Linked DNA regions of Schizosaccharomyces pombe. The gene in region 2 interacts genetically with the main gene of each other region. Each region holds a gene or a part of one and is shown on either strand. Other genes may lie near its edges. The genes, in order: are2, cce1, cbp8 and def1.

Evidence for each region.
Region 1: mutations in cce1 (region 2) and are2 together harm fitness more than expected from each alone (negative genetic interaction), as found in Schizosaccharomyces pombe (one large-scale study listed by BioGRID).
Region 3: mutations in cce1 (region 2) and cbp8 together harm fitness more than expected from each alone (negative genetic interaction), as found in Schizosaccharomyces pombe (one large-scale study listed by BioGRID).
Region 4: mutations in cce1 (region 2) and def1 together harm fitness less than expected from each alone (positive genetic interaction), as found in Schizosaccharomyces pombe (one large-scale study listed by BioGRID).

What each region holds. Positions count from the first base shown.
Region 1 is NC_003421.2:2,397,804-2,402,593, reverse strand, and holds are2 (acyl-coA-sterol acyltransferase Are2), read left to right. Parts: upstream 1-1,775; 5' UTR 1,776-2,220; coding exon 2,221-3,639; 3' UTR 3,640-4,255; downstream 4,256-4,790. Other genes in the region: AP-1 adaptor complex gamma subunit Apl4, read right to left, coding at 1-527; protein Pal1, read left to right, coding at 4,446-4,610. UniProt on the Schizosaccharomyces pombe protein: Sterol O-acyltransferase that catalyzes the formation of stery esters.
Region 2 is NC_003424.3:4,296,436-4,299,482, forward strand, and holds cce1 (cruciform cutting endonuclease Cce1), read right to left. Parts: upstream 1,471-3,047; coding exon 694-1,470; 3' UTR 501-693; downstream 1-500. UniProt on the Schizosaccharomyces pombe protein: Capable of resolving Holliday junctions. Specific for 4-way junctions. Seems to be important for the maintenance of mitochondrial DNA. Cleaves fixed junctions at the point of strand exchange. Cleaves after 5'-CT-3' and 5'-TT-3' sequences.
Region 3 is NC_003424.3:2,385,934-2,390,440, reverse strand, and holds cbp8 (protein Cbp8), read right to left. Parts: upstream 2,906-4,507; 5' UTR 2,709-2,905; coding exon 768-2,708; 3' UTR 532-767; downstream 1-531. Other genes in the region: alp21 (tubulin-specific chaperone cofactor E), read right to left, coding at 1-162, 201-355; SPOM_SPAC22H10.08 (uncharacterized protein), read right to left, coding at 3,000-3,119, 3,176-4,507. UniProt on the Schizosaccharomyces pombe protein: Translation factor for cob1/cytochrome b; plays a role in cob1 mRNA stabilization and required for correct folding of the protein.
Region 4 is NC_003423.3:568,916-574,823, reverse strand, and holds def1 (RNAPII degradation factor Def1), read right to left. Parts: upstream 3,887-5,908; 5' UTR 3,764-3,886; coding exon 872-3,763; 3' UTR 504-871; downstream 1-503.

The DNA.
Region 1 (4,790 bases), on a different chromosome or scaffold from region 2:
TCAATATATAAACTTTCCAAATCCGGTTCTTTTTGAATTACTCTAAGTGCACAGAGAACAGCCTTCTTTGATATATAATTATGATGGTTAGAGCAAAGTTCGGCTATGTCGTTTGACAAATCCCTTGCAAGCTCAGGGCCAGCGACATTACCAAACGCAGATAATGCCAACCCCACAATAAATTTGTCTCTAGATTTCAAGTCATTTTGAAGAGAATTTGTCAATAACGTCAAAACTTCCTGGTTCTCGTCTAACAGAAGCATAGCTGCTAGGTATCCCAAACGTTTATCCATGAATCGCGAACTCGACAACAATTTTAAACATTCAATCTGACCAAAGTGTGTCGGCTCACCGAGTAGAAATAAATATAGCAGCTTGGCAACATTTTTTCTGCGCATACGCATGTCATTAGAACCTTGACGAATGTTTTTTCTGATTTGAGCCGACTCTTTGAGAATCGTTGTGTGCTCCTCAGCAGTCGTTTTGGATGCCCGAACAGCCTTTATAAAAGATTTTAAACTTGACATCTTTGGATGCGTCTTTGGGGAATTGGTGAAACCTCTTTCCACTCCCGAACAAGTAAGATGCAGGTTCTTTGGATGTGTTGTTTGCATTACTTGGCTGTTGCTTGTACATGCGGTAGGGTATTGCACGGTAAATTTCTTTAAAACGAATTTAACGTTGCGACTCTTTCGTCAATCTATCAATAATGAATACTAAAAAATATGCTTTAAATAAAATAAATTTTAATTTGTTTTGTTGCTGCTGTGTTACGTTAAGTCAGCTGAAGTGTCTTTTTTTATAATTCCTAGTTTTTATTAAGCAGATGTAAATACCATTTATATTGATTAACTTAATATTATGTTACCACTTATTGCAAGTACATTTAAGAAGGTGTACTATGGCTAAGAGTTGAATATTTTTTAGGTATGGTTTTTGTGCTTTTCAGTAATCATATTACGTTTAATACACATTCCCTTATTAGAGGTTCTTAATAAAATCCATGTGCAATACTAAAGTTATCTTTCCATCCGTACCAATATTCACTGAGATATTTTACGTTCCTACTATAATTGATTCCAGTAAATATTAACTTGCATTTCTATGAGATGTATTGAAAGCAAACAGAAAAACGCAATCTAAACACAGAATATATAAAACAATGAAAATCAAATCAATTTCACTTAACAAAATAGGATGCAGCTTTAAACGACGCTCAAAACTGATGCATTCACCAATACTGCACAAATTAAAAGAATACCTAGCTTCCTTTGGTTATCTGTGTAATTTTTGAATTATCCTATCGAATTTGCTATATGGAGTTGTTAATTGATGGGCAATATCTGGAATTTATGTTTCTCTATTCGTTCTTGACCACGCTATGTGGCTTTGCTTCTTAACTATGCAGTTTGTAACCAGTTTTAATGGCACGTTAAATCACAGTGAGTTGTATTTGTGCACTACTATATTGCGATATGCAGGTAACGCGAAAATCGGGTATTAAGGTGTTATTGTAAATTATTATTGAAATGCTCATAATATGTAAACTAAGGGAAAAAGGTTCGATTGAGCATTCTTTTTTGTTTGTACCTGTCAGTCATTTGGTAATAAGCTACAATAAGCAAGTGCCAATGTCGTATCACATATAGCGGATAAATGAATAGGACATGTGATATATAGTGATACGTAACGAAATTTTACATAACGTGGTGTAGTATTGCAGATATTGCTGAGATCAGGTGGTTCATCGTCTTAGCTCGCAATTCTAACTTATCAACTCCTTTGCTCATTTTGAAACTGGAGACTTGGCTTTTCCTTACATAAATCGCATAGAACGTGAATTGCTTAGGAGTTCGAGCTTTTTATTTACTTCCATTCTATAGTGGAACATTTGGCATAGAATTTTTATTTTTGGAATCACGACTGTGGAGTTTTCGTCATACCAGTTCTGTCATCTTGAAATTCCAAGTTGGAACTTCCATCAATAGATTACATTTCTAAGTTTCTTGCTTTCATTCCTCAATTTTTTATTTAGAAGCGAAGCAAAAAATAAATTTAATCTTCCTACGTTCATATCCGCTTCTTTTTCAATTTCTTTGATACTGTTCGCGATACGTAGCTGCTGATTTTACGTTATTTTTTTGTTTTATCTTTTTCTTTATATATTTATCTTTTTTGTTATATATTCACTTAGTTGCTTTAATTGCTGGTTATTTAAAGATGATTGCTGCAACACCCGCTAAATCCAAACCATCGGATGTCAACTTGGAACAGACGTTCAAAGGTGTTTCTGAAACCTCAAAAATTGACCTTCGAAGGTCTAGGGCCGCTTACCGACCTCTGGAATTATCTCCTACTCCCTCGATTTTTGCTCGTAATTATCAACGTAATGCGGTAGACTTTACTGGATTTTTTGTGTTATTTTGGGTTGCTGTCTCTATTATGATTTTCATGAGCTTTTTAGAAAATTTCGAATTGACTGGAAGACCAGTTGTTGGCACTATTTTTAAATACTTTCAGTCTAATTTGTTAGATCTGGCAAAGGCAGACCTTGCTATGTCTTCAATGTTTCTACTTGCTTTTCCTTTCCAAAAGATTTTTGCTTTGGGATATCTGCGGTGGTATGGTTTAGGCGTTTACCTCTATTCCATTCTTATTTTACTTTTTTTAAGCCATTGTGTTTTACGCTGCTGTCTTAGCAACTGGTCCTGGACGCATCGTGCTATGTTTATTCTTCATTCTATGGTAATCCTTATGAAGCTTCATTCCTATAACGTTGTCAACGGTTGGTATTCTTATTGTTATCATTCGTTAAATAAGCTTCAGTCAAAAAAAACCGATCTTGATGATGATGAACGATCCTCAGTTGAGTTTTATGAACATTGTCTCAACCATCATGGTAATACTTATCCGGAAAATTTAACCATACCAAATGCTTTGGATTTCCTTTTCATGCCCAGCTTATGTTATCAATTATACTACCCAAGAACCGCCCATGTGCGAATTCATTATTTGATTGAATGCGCTTTGGGAACGTTTGGTTGTATCTTTCTTTTGGTCATTATTTCTGATCATTTCATGGTTCCTGTACTTGCTAAAGCCATTCGAACCATTATTGAAGCTCCTGAAGACGCATCTGCTACTTATTTTGCTATACGTTTAGGCCATACTGTAGCATTTTTGATGTTCCCATTTATGCTTAGCTTCCTCCTCGTGTTCTGGGTCATTTTTGAAGGAGTTTGTAATTTCAGCGCAGAGATTACTAGATTTGCCGATAGAAACTTTTATGATGATTGGTGGAATTGCTGGACTTGGGATCAATTTGCCCGAACCTGGAATAAGCCCGTTCATTACTTTCTCCTTCGCCACGTTTATGTTCCCCTCAACTCTTTCATGTCAAAGTCTTTATCGACTTTTTTCACGTTCTTTGTCTCCTCTGTATTACATGAACTTGTTATGGGATGTATCACTTTAAAAATCCGCGGTTACGGTTTGTTTTTTCAAATGACTCAAATCCCGTATATCATTATTCAGCGACAGAAGTTTGTTCGAAGACATAGACTGCTGGGAAATATTGCGTTTTGGTTTTCTATCATAATTGGTATCGCTCTTATTGCAGCTCTTTATATCTTATTTTAGAAGCGATAGGGGTCTCCATTATGAATAATTACCTCTTAGATTTTTTTTACAATGCGTTATTTTTTCTAGTGACTATTTCTATCTTTGACACTTTTTGTGGCTCATTTCATCTGCCCAATAAGGGCTCCTTTATGACATTTTATGAATTGTTTTGTAATGCAAGTAGGAAATGCCATTTCTATTTGAACACGTCAAAAGGCTGCAGAGTAATTTTGGTAAAACTTAGTTTTTGTGCCTCTGTGGAACTTCCGTTTCATTTTGTGTCGGTTCATTTGCTTGTTTATGATAAAATGGAATCCTGATTAAATTAACGAATTAAAGAAATGGGTTTAAAACATTTTTTTCGTTGAAAATTATGTTAACCGATTTGTTGTTTACTTAAGATTTTTAACATTCACAGATGTTCGTTTAATTTTTAGCCAGATGATTGCTTTGATTAATAAGTTTCCTCATCTCGTATTTTCATTAACATAACCATCACTGTTATTAATCGAATTAATGTGTCTAATCGTCAGTGGTTAGGATATTCGATTTATTCAGTTTTCCCATTCTTAATAAATGTACTTTTCTGTCTTGCACAATAAAATTATTATAGCAAGAAACCTAGATAACGCAACCCAATGTGCAATAGCACTGTACAGTAAATTGCCTATAAGCAGGGGTAGATATTTTTACCACTGGAATCCCAACTCACCAAGAACCCATATCTTGTAGTTCGAAGTTTGATTCGGAAAAACCTCTTGTGTATTTCAAGGTGCTCTTTCTCAAAACGAAATCGCAAGGGTATCGTTTGGGTGCAATACGGGATGATGGTAATAGAGAACCCTTTTTTAAGTACTGCTACAAGCAGTCAGACACCTCAAGAGGATGGCGTGTACACGTCTTCCCTGCACAACAGTAACAATCCTTTTTTAGCTCCCAAGACAGAGCGTGTGGCTGATCCGGTCATGGAATCTATGGCAGATGACTTGGTATGTAAATTTTTGAGGCTGAAGTAGATATAATTCGGTCATTGCTTCGTTACGTGAAGATTTGTTAAATTTATTGAAACCTTTCCAAATTAGTGTTCTATTAAGAGTTTTTAAGTTTCTAATTTAAAGCGCTCATAACGTACATTTTATTTAGACAAGGAGTTTCTTCGGTTTGCAATG
Region 2 (3,047 bases):
ATATTAAATTTTCCCTGAAAGCTATCATGTACCAATTTCCAAAAGGTGTGTGTGTTTTCCACGTGTTTATACTACTAATTTTTTCTCGTCTTTCTTTACTTTAGGGATTAAATCTTGTGTAAATGCGTGTTATCCAGGGTTTACTCTGTTGGGGAACTAAACAATCACGAGTTGCGTTTTTTTATGTTTTTTTTAAAGGATCTCAGACGCTATCATGGTCCTCTTATGACTTTTGTGGCTTCACTGCAAGTTCTACTTTTTTCTTTACGTCTTCAAAGCCGTTTCATACAAATTTATTATAAAAAATTTCATTTTTCGGTGCTGTTATTGGTGCTTTTGTATGCATGAAATATAGAGGATATAAACTTGGGTTTTTGAAATGAGCAAGGTCGGGTTGCTATTTTTAAGGCCTTATTACCTTTTTTTGTTTGTCATCATTCTTATTTTTTTTAAAAAATTCATTTCATGTTCTTTATGTTTTGTTATTTTTCATCGTTGAAGTTTAGAATAATGCTCAAAGAAGATCTTTGATACATGTGCCTGCATTCCTTTTGTTATCATTATTAATTTTATGAATTTAGTTTAATTTCTTCCTTTTTTATAGGATCATGAAATGCAATATACGATAGTTTTTCTTTGAATAAAACTACAATATACAAATTGGCTAAACATTCGTACGGCAATCGTTCATTTCTATTGTTTCAGAAACTGTTTGCAAAAGTTTCTATAATGCTTCAGTTGGGCTTGCCATCTCATCCAACCGCTTGCAATCAAAGCAGAATCTGCCATATCGTCCTTTTTAAATTCAACCCTAGAACCGTTGTTCCATTTATACAGAGCTTCTTCATTTTCAAATAGGATTTTTTGACCATCTATTAATTCCTTGACCATTTGTACTCTACTCTTCTTCTTTGAAAAAGATGCTTTCGTATTCAAAACTGATGCCCAATACGAGTATGTAGATTTTGGGGACAGAGAAAGAAGGAAAGGATATTGTATTTTCTGTTCGATTGAATTTCTTTTTTCTGCGTAGTGTAACGCATACAGCATGCTTTCAAGCATATTTACTCGTAGCGTCCACTCTGGAATCGTAGCAATACCGGAACGATAACGCTGGCGTTCCATAAGAATGACATGCGGATTGAATTTTTCGTGTAATGTATTAAACAGTTGTATTGAAAGATCAGCCATGGAGCTAGGCTGGAAGTCTTCGGTCCATTGTATATCAAGCCCATTTTTTTCAGTTAGATTTTCAACAGACCAATTGTGGATAATAACTTTAGAATCTTCATTTTGACTTGCAAAGCAGTAAGAGAAATTTTTGATTCCCAAGTCAATACCAAGTACCCGAGAGGTGGGATAAATAGGAGAGTCAACAATTCTTCGAAGCAACTCATCCTTTCTTCCACTTCTTGACAATCCAGTTAACTTACAGATGTGCTGTAAAAAACTAAGTTTCACAGTAGCCATTCTGTAAAAAAGAATAAATTGACATAAAGAAACGGATATGAAGTTGTAAACCTATAGCAATGATTATGTTTTTTTTTTTTGCAAAAACAAGGAAACGAGGCAGTAAGAATTGAGTTTATTCAAATAAGAAAAAATGATTATTTCTCTTAAAATGAATTGTTTTTAGAAGTGAACAGTTTTAGATGCTAGATGCAAACGTGAAAGATAGTATATGGTAATACAAAAAACGAAGGATTGGTAAATGGGAGTCCGGGAATTTTTATTTCACTTACGAGTAGAAACATGTAATTTTTTTTCTTTTATTCCATAAGCTTGCGATGTTTGAAGTCGTTGACAACGTCTTGCTTAGTTCAAACTGCTAGTCACCTGGGAATTATCTGAATAAATAAGCATTAAAATATGAACAAAGATTGGCGAGTCCAAGTTTATGTGAAATATCAACAACGATATACGTCGATTCATAGGAGGTTTGAACTCATCAACCTAAAGTTAGAAATACATGGCAAAAGAAATTTATCACAGATTGTTAATATGTTTGCAATCAGACATTGACTTAAATCAATTCTTAAGACTTGTTTGTAAGTGAGCAAGTTTATTATTGTTTTATGAATGATCGAGGTTGTGTAAAATGGCACAGTTTGTATTTGAAAGCTAATTTGGAATCCACAAAATTTAAGATATATAACAGAAAAGCTTTTATACAGCTGAAGTCTTCATTTAATACCCCGAATCCGTCATTGTCTTTTATTATAATACCGAGTTTCTATGCAAGTTAGGTAAAACTCCATATTTGAAGTCTTGGACATTGAAATACTTAAACTGTAACATTTGTTTTAAACTATTAGGATTAAATTTTCAAAGTTTTGATGGCACACATTGTACTATAGTTAGCAAGTATATAGAACGGCGATGGTTGACAAAAATGAACTACAAATGTAACCACGGAATGAACGTGAAGGTTTATCGGATTTTGATTTTAACGCTGTTTAATTTGTATTCAGCTACCTTTAACATTAATGATGAATTTCTGCTATTGGATTTCTAAAACTCCTCTGAAAGCATATAGCAGACAATGTCTTACGCAAATACAAAAAATGCTTTAAGGATTTCAAAGCGTTTTCCACTGATTTTTTTCTTATGCAAAAAGCAAATCTATTACTGACTTTAAGCTTGAACTTCAATCATTCTCATTTCTATTTCGTTTCCATATTCTATTATAGAGGATCTGTCAAGTAACATGTTTTGTATTTGATTCTTTTTTTACACAAGCAGCACTAGTATGAATAAGTTTTAAGAAGAATATGACTTTGTTCCGGAATATATTAACTGACTGAAAAGTAGAGAATATACTGTTTTTAGAAAAAAAAAATTGCGAATTGTCTGACGCACTATTGTTTCAATATATGAACCGTTGTTGGGGATGAAAAATGTTCAGTAAAAACCCCAAACTTAAAACTTATTGCGCATGTAGATCTAAAGTAGTTTATTCAATTAACTATTCGACTGACTATTACAACTGGGCCATTGATATATAAAATGAGCGAATATTCTAATGGCTTTAGAATTTTCAATATAAG
Region 3 (4,507 bases), 1.9 Mb from region 2:
TTTTCGAAACCACAGAATTCTACCTGTTTTCCACTTTTAAATTCAACAGAGGAAGGTAGGGGACTTGAATATGAATATTTTTCGTAAAGTGCTTCCAAAAATGTTCTGCATGGATCAAAAGGGAATCCTTTGTCTACAAATATTTTTCCTTCTTTTACAATTCTAATAGTTTAGTTTCTTGTCGTCAATAACAATCTTACAATGGTTTTTTGTTTCTCCAACACGTTTTAACAAACTGTTTTGCATTTACGTTTTTATCAAGTATGACTTGGTATCGATCATTGTTTCCTTCGATGGTTAATGTTACTAAAGTATTAGATATAGAAGCCCTAACCATTCCAGTGGATATATGCATTATTAATCAACGTGGGAAAGAAAATGGATTGCTATAAAAATTTGGGCAGTTTAAGTTTTTTGTTTCTTTCAAATTTTGTCTTTTATCTACAACAAAAAGTTTTAACCGCACTTTTTCTTTGCGACATAGAAGTGTTCAGTACGTAGTGATAATATAGATGGCATCAGATTTGTTAGGAAAATAGTTGGAAATACTGCTTATTATTATACGGGTTTTGATTCTAATGTCGATCTCATTTTTAAATGTGCTGCTTTATTAAGTCTCTCAATGTTAATGTAAATAATCTATTGTTGGCTGCATACCTCGTAAAGTACAACTTGATACCAATGAATATATTAATTATCAAACAATGCGTTTAAATGTATCAAGCACCAAGCACGATGTAGATTGGAAGCAGCACTATCGAGAATTATCACTTTTTTAAATGAACTGTACATAAAGGAAATGTTGCTTTTTGGGGGCGAGAACTCCATCCTGGGAGAATTCGCAATTGTTGATCTGCAACCCATTTGAGACTTCTAAAATTTACCTCGTGAATGGCAAAAAATTCGATCTCTCGGAGAACTTTGTCATTTGATAACAAAGGAAAAGAAATTATCTTTAAAAAACGAATTGCGAATTCAGTTCCCATTTTTTTGCTCAATATCGAAATCAGAGTTCTGGTCCAGTCGCTGCTATTACGGAAACAATCAACAATGTAATCAAACTGAAGCCCAGATAACCGTATATACTTTAAAGCATAACTTAATTTATTTTTTTTTAAACAATAACAAAAAAATCTGGGCAGGTTTTTTGGCATTATTTCGATTCCTCGTTTTCTGTAAAAGTCTTTTACTTCGAAGGAATTCACACCTTGTAGTAATAATAAATTAATCTTATAACGACTAACTTCGTTTAAATTTTTCTTTTTGTTTATATAATAAATACAGGCATTCAAAAAACCTTGATTCTCTTGCATTTCACCAAACATCTTCAAAAGAGAGAAAATAAAATTTTCCGGAATTTGGCCTTTATGCTCTTCCCAATTTTGATTTATTTCTTGAAAAATTAAACGATCTTTAAAGACGACAACGTAATTAGCGAGTACATTTAGCAGGCTATAGCAATTTAACAAAAAAAGCTGACGAATAGGTAAAACATGCTCCAGTAGTTTTTTGCAATCTTCTTTCTTTCTTAATAAAATAAAACGAGAAAGAAAAATTGCTTGTACGTCAGCCAAATCAGATAAATTGTAGTGATCTCGTATAATATGTAAATATGCGGAATAGACCTCCATAGAGCCTTCTACTATATTGGAAAAATTTTTGAAAAAAGAAACAAAAAACTCAATTTTTACCGGCCATCCCTTATTAAATGAGTGAATGAGCCACATTTTAAGAGAGCAGCTATTTTTAGCCGAAAGGAGAGATATAAAGACTTTATCCAGAAACTGTTCAGATGGAGTTATCCTTTCATTATCAATATGCTCCATAAGCTGAAAAAACGCACGTAAACGTAAAAAAATTTCAGCCTTCTCCATCTTCGAAAAAGCAATAGACGGTGGTAGCATAGAATTAGCTAACATGCAATGGCTCGAATTTCCATGGAAAAGACTGTAATCTCTAATGAGAAGCAAGAAAAGTGTGCGGAAATCATTAAAAGTTTTTGAATTAAGTGAAGAGCGAATATTAGCGCTTTTCAGCAGTTTTTCAACTTTGTGGTACGGTCCATCTTTTCGAAAATATATAGAAGAGAATGAACTGTCATATTTAAACAGATCAATTGTTTGCAAAATTATTTTTAAAGAAGATTTTAAGTCAGTTCTACTCAAATTTACAGTAGATACGCAAATATTCAAGGCAGCTGAAATAATGCTCTCCAGAATTCGCTTTTGCCTTTGCAAATCCGGATCTAAACGAAGCACATTATATACGAAATTTACCAGTACCTTTTTTTCGTCAGAATATTGTGAGAAAAGCAATTTTGAAAAACCATTATCTTTCGGATTTGAATAATTCGTAAACATTAGCAACTGATAATACAAGTTACTATTAACCTCAAAAACTGGGTAAAACGGATGCAGAGCTTTCAGACATTTGTTATATATTTCTGATAACTCACGTTGATATAGCAGGTCATCATCATTATAGTTTTCATAATCTCTCCAGGCCAAGGTAGAGTCTTCAGAATACTTTCTTATTAAAGATTTGAATTGTAAACTTTTTTTTGCAGAGAAAAACCGTCTGCTTAATGAAGTATTGTCTTCAAAGTACGCTTTGCAAGTGCAAAAAGAAATGTATAAGGGTTTCGACTTGACAAGAAAAGCACTTGTATTTGACAAGTTTTTTGACACTTTGCTAAGGGTTTTCAACATAAACGCATCCTAGGTTTAATCCTTTATCAAATTAATCTCCAAAGTATTCTAAGTATAAACCGATCAAAGTATCTCTAAATACAACCAACTTCAATAAAATAAAGTAAATAAAGGTTTTTGGTACGTGTATTTATGTCAATCTTTTGAACAATTTACGCGAAACGTAATAAGATTTCCTGATGTTGGCAGTTGTTGGTGGGAGCCTATTACACGTCGAGAATTTATATACATTTTTGCAATAATAAAATAACTGATGCTTAAAAGATTGTATTTTAATCCATTACTAAATAATTACTCACCATTGAAGCTAAGAAATCCGGACATGAGAAGTACACGATAGTAATCTTTTGTGTGTATGTTGTTTGCCCAATTCCAGGCACTAGTCAAACGTCCATCAATACAACTGCCAGCCTAGAGCTAGTTAGTAATTAAACAGATATATATATAGATAGATAATTTTAACTTACATCAAACCAATTGTCTGCACCAGATCCATCAAATCCGAATCTCATAAAATCGGTTAAAATAGTCTTTTTTAAATATTCTCTGCCTCCAAAAGCTGTATCAATGTAGTTAAGAAGAGAATGGTCATTTAAAGAATCTAACTCCTTGAACAATAGAACCAAGGGTGTTAAAATCCTTGGCACTTGCATATACTTGTCTATAAACAATAAGGCATTTGGAACAGCGGTATCTCCGAGATGGATTGTTGAACTTCCTATCCATGTTTCAGACTGTTCTTGAGCCGTCCGCAAAATCCTTTCCATCGCAATTCTAATGTTGGGACAAGGCTGCATTCTGTGTATTCCTTGATTGTTATCAATTAGCTTATACTCCATATCTGGGTTAGTTAACTCCAGATCACTAAGAGCCCATAATGAAAATATTTCTCCCATAATTAAAAGCCAAAGATGCAAACTTTGCACAACATAATGGTACTGTTTGTAATGACTATGCTTTAGTCTTGAGCCATTAATGGCATCAATAGCAAGAGTAAACTCATCGTCCACGGTATCTGGAGAAAAATATGCTTCTACCAAGCCTATGAGTTTGGCAATTGGATCACGATTATATCTCAAGTAACTGTTACTATCAGCAATAGAGTAGAGACACCATCGTACTTTCTCTTTTGTAATTTTGCTGCTGTAATACTTTTTTGCAATATGTTCAACAGCTCTTTCTTTCGCTTTAATATCTTTTTGAATCGCTGAGCGTGATCTATTTTCAGCGACTATTTCCATAGTAGCAATTTCGGCATAAGGATCTTCTAATGCGTTCAAAGCATCCCTTTCATTCAAAAATTCATAGACAGTCAAAATGGGTTTAAAGAGGTTAAATCCAAGTGCGTCTTGAATTTCTGGTCGCATAGAATCTTGCACAAAGTACATCAATTTCCCATAAGTAGACCCCAGTCGGTTGGGATTTAGCACTTTATAACGTCGACCTATTTCAAAAATCTTTTTAAAAAATTCGGCATGTTGTTCAAAATTTTTATGCTCAAGCAATTCTTGTCCAACTTTATAATCATAAGCAACCATGATACCCGACAAAACTGCAGTAATTCCTTTCAATTGCTGAGCCAGTCTTTTCGCTGGCGACGAAAAGCTTAGGGTATCAACGCTGTCGGTATAATCACTCACATCCAATGCAGCAGTAAGTAAATGAAGAAGCTTTCTTTCTTCATATTCAAGTCTCAAAGGAATCACTTTGGCCCTTTGCAACAACACAGGAGAAGAAAATTTCTTTTCAGGTGATTCATTACCCGTTTTAGATTCATTGGGGAGAATGGATGACAAATA
Region 4 (5,908 bases), on a different chromosome or scaffold from region 2:
TCTCTTCTTCAACTACATCTACATGAACGAATCTTGCCAGTAGTGAAGGTTAGACATTCTATTTTTTCATGAGAATTTTACAACAGCGACATGCTGTTTTGCTAAATTTGGATGTTTCAATTTGCTATATTTCTAGAATCAATAATACGTATTATACAAATTTGCTCTTCATTTCAATGTAAATAAAAGTATCAAGTTTTTCTATTCAGTAGACTTAGCGTATAGGGTTGACGTAGTGTTGTTGACTGAAGTGTGGCATATATTACTAGCGAAGCTTTTTTTTTTTTACACTTTGCTTTAGCGAATTCGCTTAACATTTGCCGTCAAAAATTGTTTAAAATAGGAATGCCGAGTGAACCACCCCCCTAAATTGCCAACTGATTAAACGTGTTTCATTAGCACTTGACTTTTGGAAATATAATAATCATTACTTGAAACTAGTTATCCCACTTCGCATTGCTTACCCACACCTACAAATACCTTAACATCAAATCTTTATTTACCCTTTCCCTCTTCCAAAACGCCAGTTTGTTTTAATAATGCAATAAAAAAATACTCTATGAACATACAAGGAATTACCATATAATGGCAACATTACGGCGTGGTATGATATGTTATGATATGAACAAGCAACATTTCAAACTACATAATTAAGCACTATCAAACAGAAAACACATGTGACCACATAGCCATATAAATCACACACATATATATATTGAAAAACTTCATAAATTCGATTGTCCCAATAAAATCGATTTTACCCTTCCATTAATAGCATCTTGTCCGCAATTATTTTTAGCCTATTTTTGAATCCTTATAAAAAGCATTTTCCAACTTCTACGTTATCAAACTTTTTGATCATAAGTTCAATTTAAGCATTACCGTACCAACCTCCTGGTCGGTTTATAAATGACTGGTTGTATGCATTATAGCCTCCTAATCCATTACTACCTGCATTGGTAGATGCTCCAGAGTTGAACGGAAACCCAGCGGGTTGGCTGTTTGCATTGTTGACCTTGTTAGCATTGCTTTGAAAAGAGGTTGTCTGCTGAGTAGCAGCATTGGTCAATGGCGTTTGTTGAGGAGGTAAGCCATAAGGAGAGGCCGCATTGGCACTAAGGTTTTCAAAACTTCCAACATTACCCATAAACATACCAGGAGCCGCACGTCCCATCCCTGACATGGAAGACAAACCACCCAAAGTACTTGACATGCTGTTCGCCCCGGTTACGCCTCCATTTCCAATCACAGAGTCACGATGTCCAGCCGCTTTCTCAGTCATGCCGCTAGTATTTGCAGTGGCATTATTAATTGGGTTGCTAGTTTGTGTTCCACTCATACCACTTACATTGCCAGGCTGTTGTCTGTTGTACACGTTGCTGTGTCCACCAAAGATGGGAGGGAAATCATTAAAGCCGCTCTGAGACATGTATCCTTGCTGGGGCTGTCCAAACTTGTTATTATTGTAAGGCATCGTACCGTATCCATAAGACACATAAGGAATAGGATACATTGGAGGAAATGCATAAGGTTGGGGCTGTTGTTGAGAAACAACAGGGCTAGGAGTCGCTGTTCCAGCAGCAGGTAGAGAAGTAGCATTAGAAGATGCAACCTTGTTATGCATTACCGAGTGCACATCTGGTGTATTCGACGCACTACCAGCGACATTATCATATTGTGAGTATTGATTACGCTCATTATAGTAATGAGCTGCTGGTGCAGCTTGACCATATTCAATAGGAGACATAGTAGTGTATGCTGGATGACTAGTCTGTTGATATTGTTGAGAAGTATTTGAAGCATATCCCAATTCAGTACTATGGTCGATGTGTTGAAAATTGTCGAATGGGCTATTGGCGGAGCGGTTTTCCACAGGATTCATAAATCTAGAAGAATATGGAAGTGCAGTTGTCTCCCCAGCATTTGAAGATGCAGTTTCGTTGTTAAAAGCAGCTCCGGTAGACGGAGGAATAAGACTAGCACCAGCATATGGTTGAGGGGAAATTCCATGTGTAGCAGGAGAATAAATACCGCCATATCCGGCACTTTGTTTACCAACCACCGGGCCACTTGTAGCACTTGTGGATGCAGCGGGTATAGTCGTTTGGGCTGATACTTGAGGAGGGATGGCCGAGACAGAAGAGGCGTTTCCACTGGCCGGTAAATTTACATCGTGTAAACCACGATATGGTGTCTCGTTAACATGAGATTCCTTCAAGTTTTCGGGAACCTTCGATTGTGGAGCACGGCTTTCATATGCTGAAGTGTGTTGTTTCTTTGGGATTTTGGTGGATTCAGCAACTTTGCTCGCCTCTTTTTTTGCCTCTGGCTTTGGTGAAACTGTCTTTTTAGGAAAATAGGAACTTCTTGGTCCAGACTGTGCTATGTTGTCTGAAGAAGACTTTGTCGATTTTTTGTCCTCACCCCCAAGTGTCAAGCTTCCGAAACGCACTTGAACCTTTTCGGGAATAGCAGCAGTATTAGCAACAGGCATAACGACGGGGAATCTATCAGAAAGTAATCGAGCAGTAGTCATACTAGTTGTAGAGCTTTGAGAGCCAACAGCGGCTTGCTTCGCAAAGGAGGGCTTAGGTAGGGAAGCAGAAGAGATGTTGGAAAGCCCAGGAGCGGGCTTGACTGCATTTATGGCAAATGGGGCAGTACTCTTTTTGGGAGCTGAGGTAGCTGTGGAGGGGGTCGTTTCAACATTTGCGGGAGTTGCAGAGTCCTGGGATTTGTGAGGGAAAGGAACAGATGAGGATGACAGTTCAGCAGGTTTTTCGTAAGCAGCGGAAACATTAGTTTTAGAGGGTTGAGAAGGAGCGATAGAGGGTTTAGAAGGTTCGGATTCGGGAGCGGGAGCGGGAGCGGGAGTGACCTTTTTCTTCGACTTTGCAACTGAAGCCCAAGCCTTCTTTATAGGCTTTGAAGATGCAACAGCCTGATCAGCCGCACTGGTCGACTTTGCTGAGGCCGAAGTACCGCCTGCGGTGCCGTTCGTATTTGTTGAAGCAGCGGTATTAGCCGATGTTAAAACTGAAGCTTGTTCATTAGATGTAGTATGATCTTTCATTGAGGAATCTTCATTAATAGTACCAGGATCAACGGAAGAAGACACTGTCGTTGATGCAGGAGCTTTGGTAGAAATTTCTGAGGAAGGAAGATCGCCAGTACCAGCAGGCTTTTCTAAAGAGGATGGTGCATGAACGGAAGAAGGATCTGAGGGAGCTCCTGCTTTTGATTTTCGAACCCCCCGAGAAGTATCCTTAGAAGCGGAAGGTTTCTTTGATTTACGTGTAGCATTACGAAAGGTGGAAGAGACATTATCGGAAACTGGAGCATGACTTGTTGGTTTGGACTTTGTTTTAGGGATTGGCTTCTTTTTAACTTCACCCCATTTGGAGGCGTGACCTTCAGTAATATGCAATATGGTCAGTTCCAAATCCCGGTCCGCTTCTTCTAAAGCAAAACTTAAATCATCAATCGTCCAGCTAGGAAACAGCTCTTGCAATACGCTTAACTGCGAATCACGATCAAATTCGAGCTCAAGCGCATTTGATCCCTCTATATTACTAGTCTGAGACGAATTTGCCGGGCCAGATTTTCCTTTGGTGCCTCGCCTTCCCTTCGCTCCTCTCTTGGCGGAAGAGGATGAAGTTTTATTATCTTGCGATATATTTAACGCTGTATCTGTGTGTTGCTTTTCTGAAACTTGTTCGGTATTTCCGACCTTCTTTGGCCGAAACTTTTTATTCTCACTCATTTTTGATTCTACTTTTCTTTACAAAAATTAATACAGGTCTTGAAAATCGACAAGGCACGTGTATTCGTGCTTCAAGACGATATGCAAGATTTTTCGTGTTATTTAAGGGTAGTGGTTCTGGCTGCGTTTTGGTGTCGTGCAGCATAGTGCTTTTGCTTAAATGGAAATTGCCTATACCAGAGCAAGGTGGTAGTGAATGCGCTAAAGTGCAAACTATAGCTTTCCTTGAAATTTTTATACATAGAAAAACTTATAACGTTATAAAGAACAATGTTATTGTTTAAATTTTACTTTACTTTTTCTTCATTTTTGCGATTACCTTTTCTAAAAGCTTGATTTATATAGTAGTGGAGTGCAGTTTACTATTGTATTTAACGATTTACCGTTGTGTATCTTTATTGCTCTTAAGACAATAGCTAGTTAGCTGCTTGCCTGAATACATGAAAATATGATGAAAGTAGAGCTCATTGTATTAACTTTTCTATTGCCCAATTTCTTCGATACTGTTAAAAGATGTGCAATTCGTTTAGCTAAATTCAAGTTGACTAAACACCTTTCGTTCCATGCTTTGCTATTACAGATTCCTAACACGTTGGTATGTTTAGAAATTTGCAATGCAATATCGGGTATTCAGTTGGTCAATTTATGAAAACTTTAATTACTGCTTCAAGTAATAATCCATCCGTTCTAATTACGCGGCTTCAGTAACATTCGAAGCTCTTCATTCACTTTGTTGGGTTCAAGTGAACCACACTTATAAACGTGATGCCCTTTATCTAAAAAAATAAATATGAAGCCTGCTAATATTAAATTAACAATAAAAACAAGAAACATTGCTTTGGCCGGGAATCGAACCCGGGTCGAATCGATGGCAACGATTCATTATACCACTAAACCACCAAAGCTTGTTAGAATGCTCTATTAAAAAGCATATATCTATTTAATTGTAGAGTTATAAAAACATAGAATATTGATAAAATAACATTATAATTTATTCAAAAAAACTAAATTGTACAGCTGAATAATCGCCTAGTTATATTAAGATAAATTCTAAAAGCATTATTATCAAAGTTTCTGTCAATGCTTATAACTAATGTGTCAAATGGTTTGATGAAGCGTTCGCATTATTTTACTATTTCATCTTTAATTTTGTCATTTTTTACAAATTTTCGTTGTTTTTTAAAAAAAATTGCTGTGAACTTTAGTAGTATCATCTCGCAATTTATATTGATTTTTCTTCTTTTTATTTTTATTTTATTTTTTTATTCAATTGTTAGTAACCAAAATTAAGTCACCATTTTTGGCAATTCAAATGACTAACTAATTATAAAATAATAAAATCAAACGTGCTAAGATTCTATGTTTAAATTGCTAAAGTCAATACTCTCTTCTTGTGAAGAGTCCATTTTCAAAACGACAACATAACAGAAAACTGTAAAGAGTAATGAAAAGAAACCCACATTTCAAGGAATAGCATATCTATCTATTGTTGCACTATAATTTTTTAACAAAAGCGGCACATTAGAAACCATTTTCTCAAATAAAAAATTGATTTTACATTGAAAACTGTCAACGATGAACAATAAACAGTGCATTCGTATGACAACAAGATATGGACAAGTTAATTCGTACGCTAGAATTGTTCTCAAATGTTTACAGATAGGTTTGATATATTTCAAAATCTTTATTTGTCACTATTTTTTACAGTATCATCAACAAAGCAGCATAAAAAATTCAGTGAAGCCGTTAACATTGTAAGAATAAAATAATATTCCGAAAAAAAAAGAAAGGAGCCTACAGCACCCCGGATTCCCATGTTGTCTCCAACCATAGTACTAACGAGGCCCTCAGACGCTTAACTGCAGTGATCGGACGGGAACTGGTGTTTTCGCCTAGGTGTGGCCGTAGACAGTTACTAAGCATATTTAATAAATTTATACACATACCTAAAGCTGCGAACAAGTATTAATCAGGTTTTGAAATAAATGTAATTTATATTCCTTCATGTGAAGCTAATAAAATAAATTGATAATAAAGATATCTTACTTTAAGTTCTCATATGTGTTTAAACTGAGTATTTACAATCCAGCATATTTTGTGTTGTTTGAGAATATGTCTCCAAAAGAAGTGCGTCTTCTTTTATAT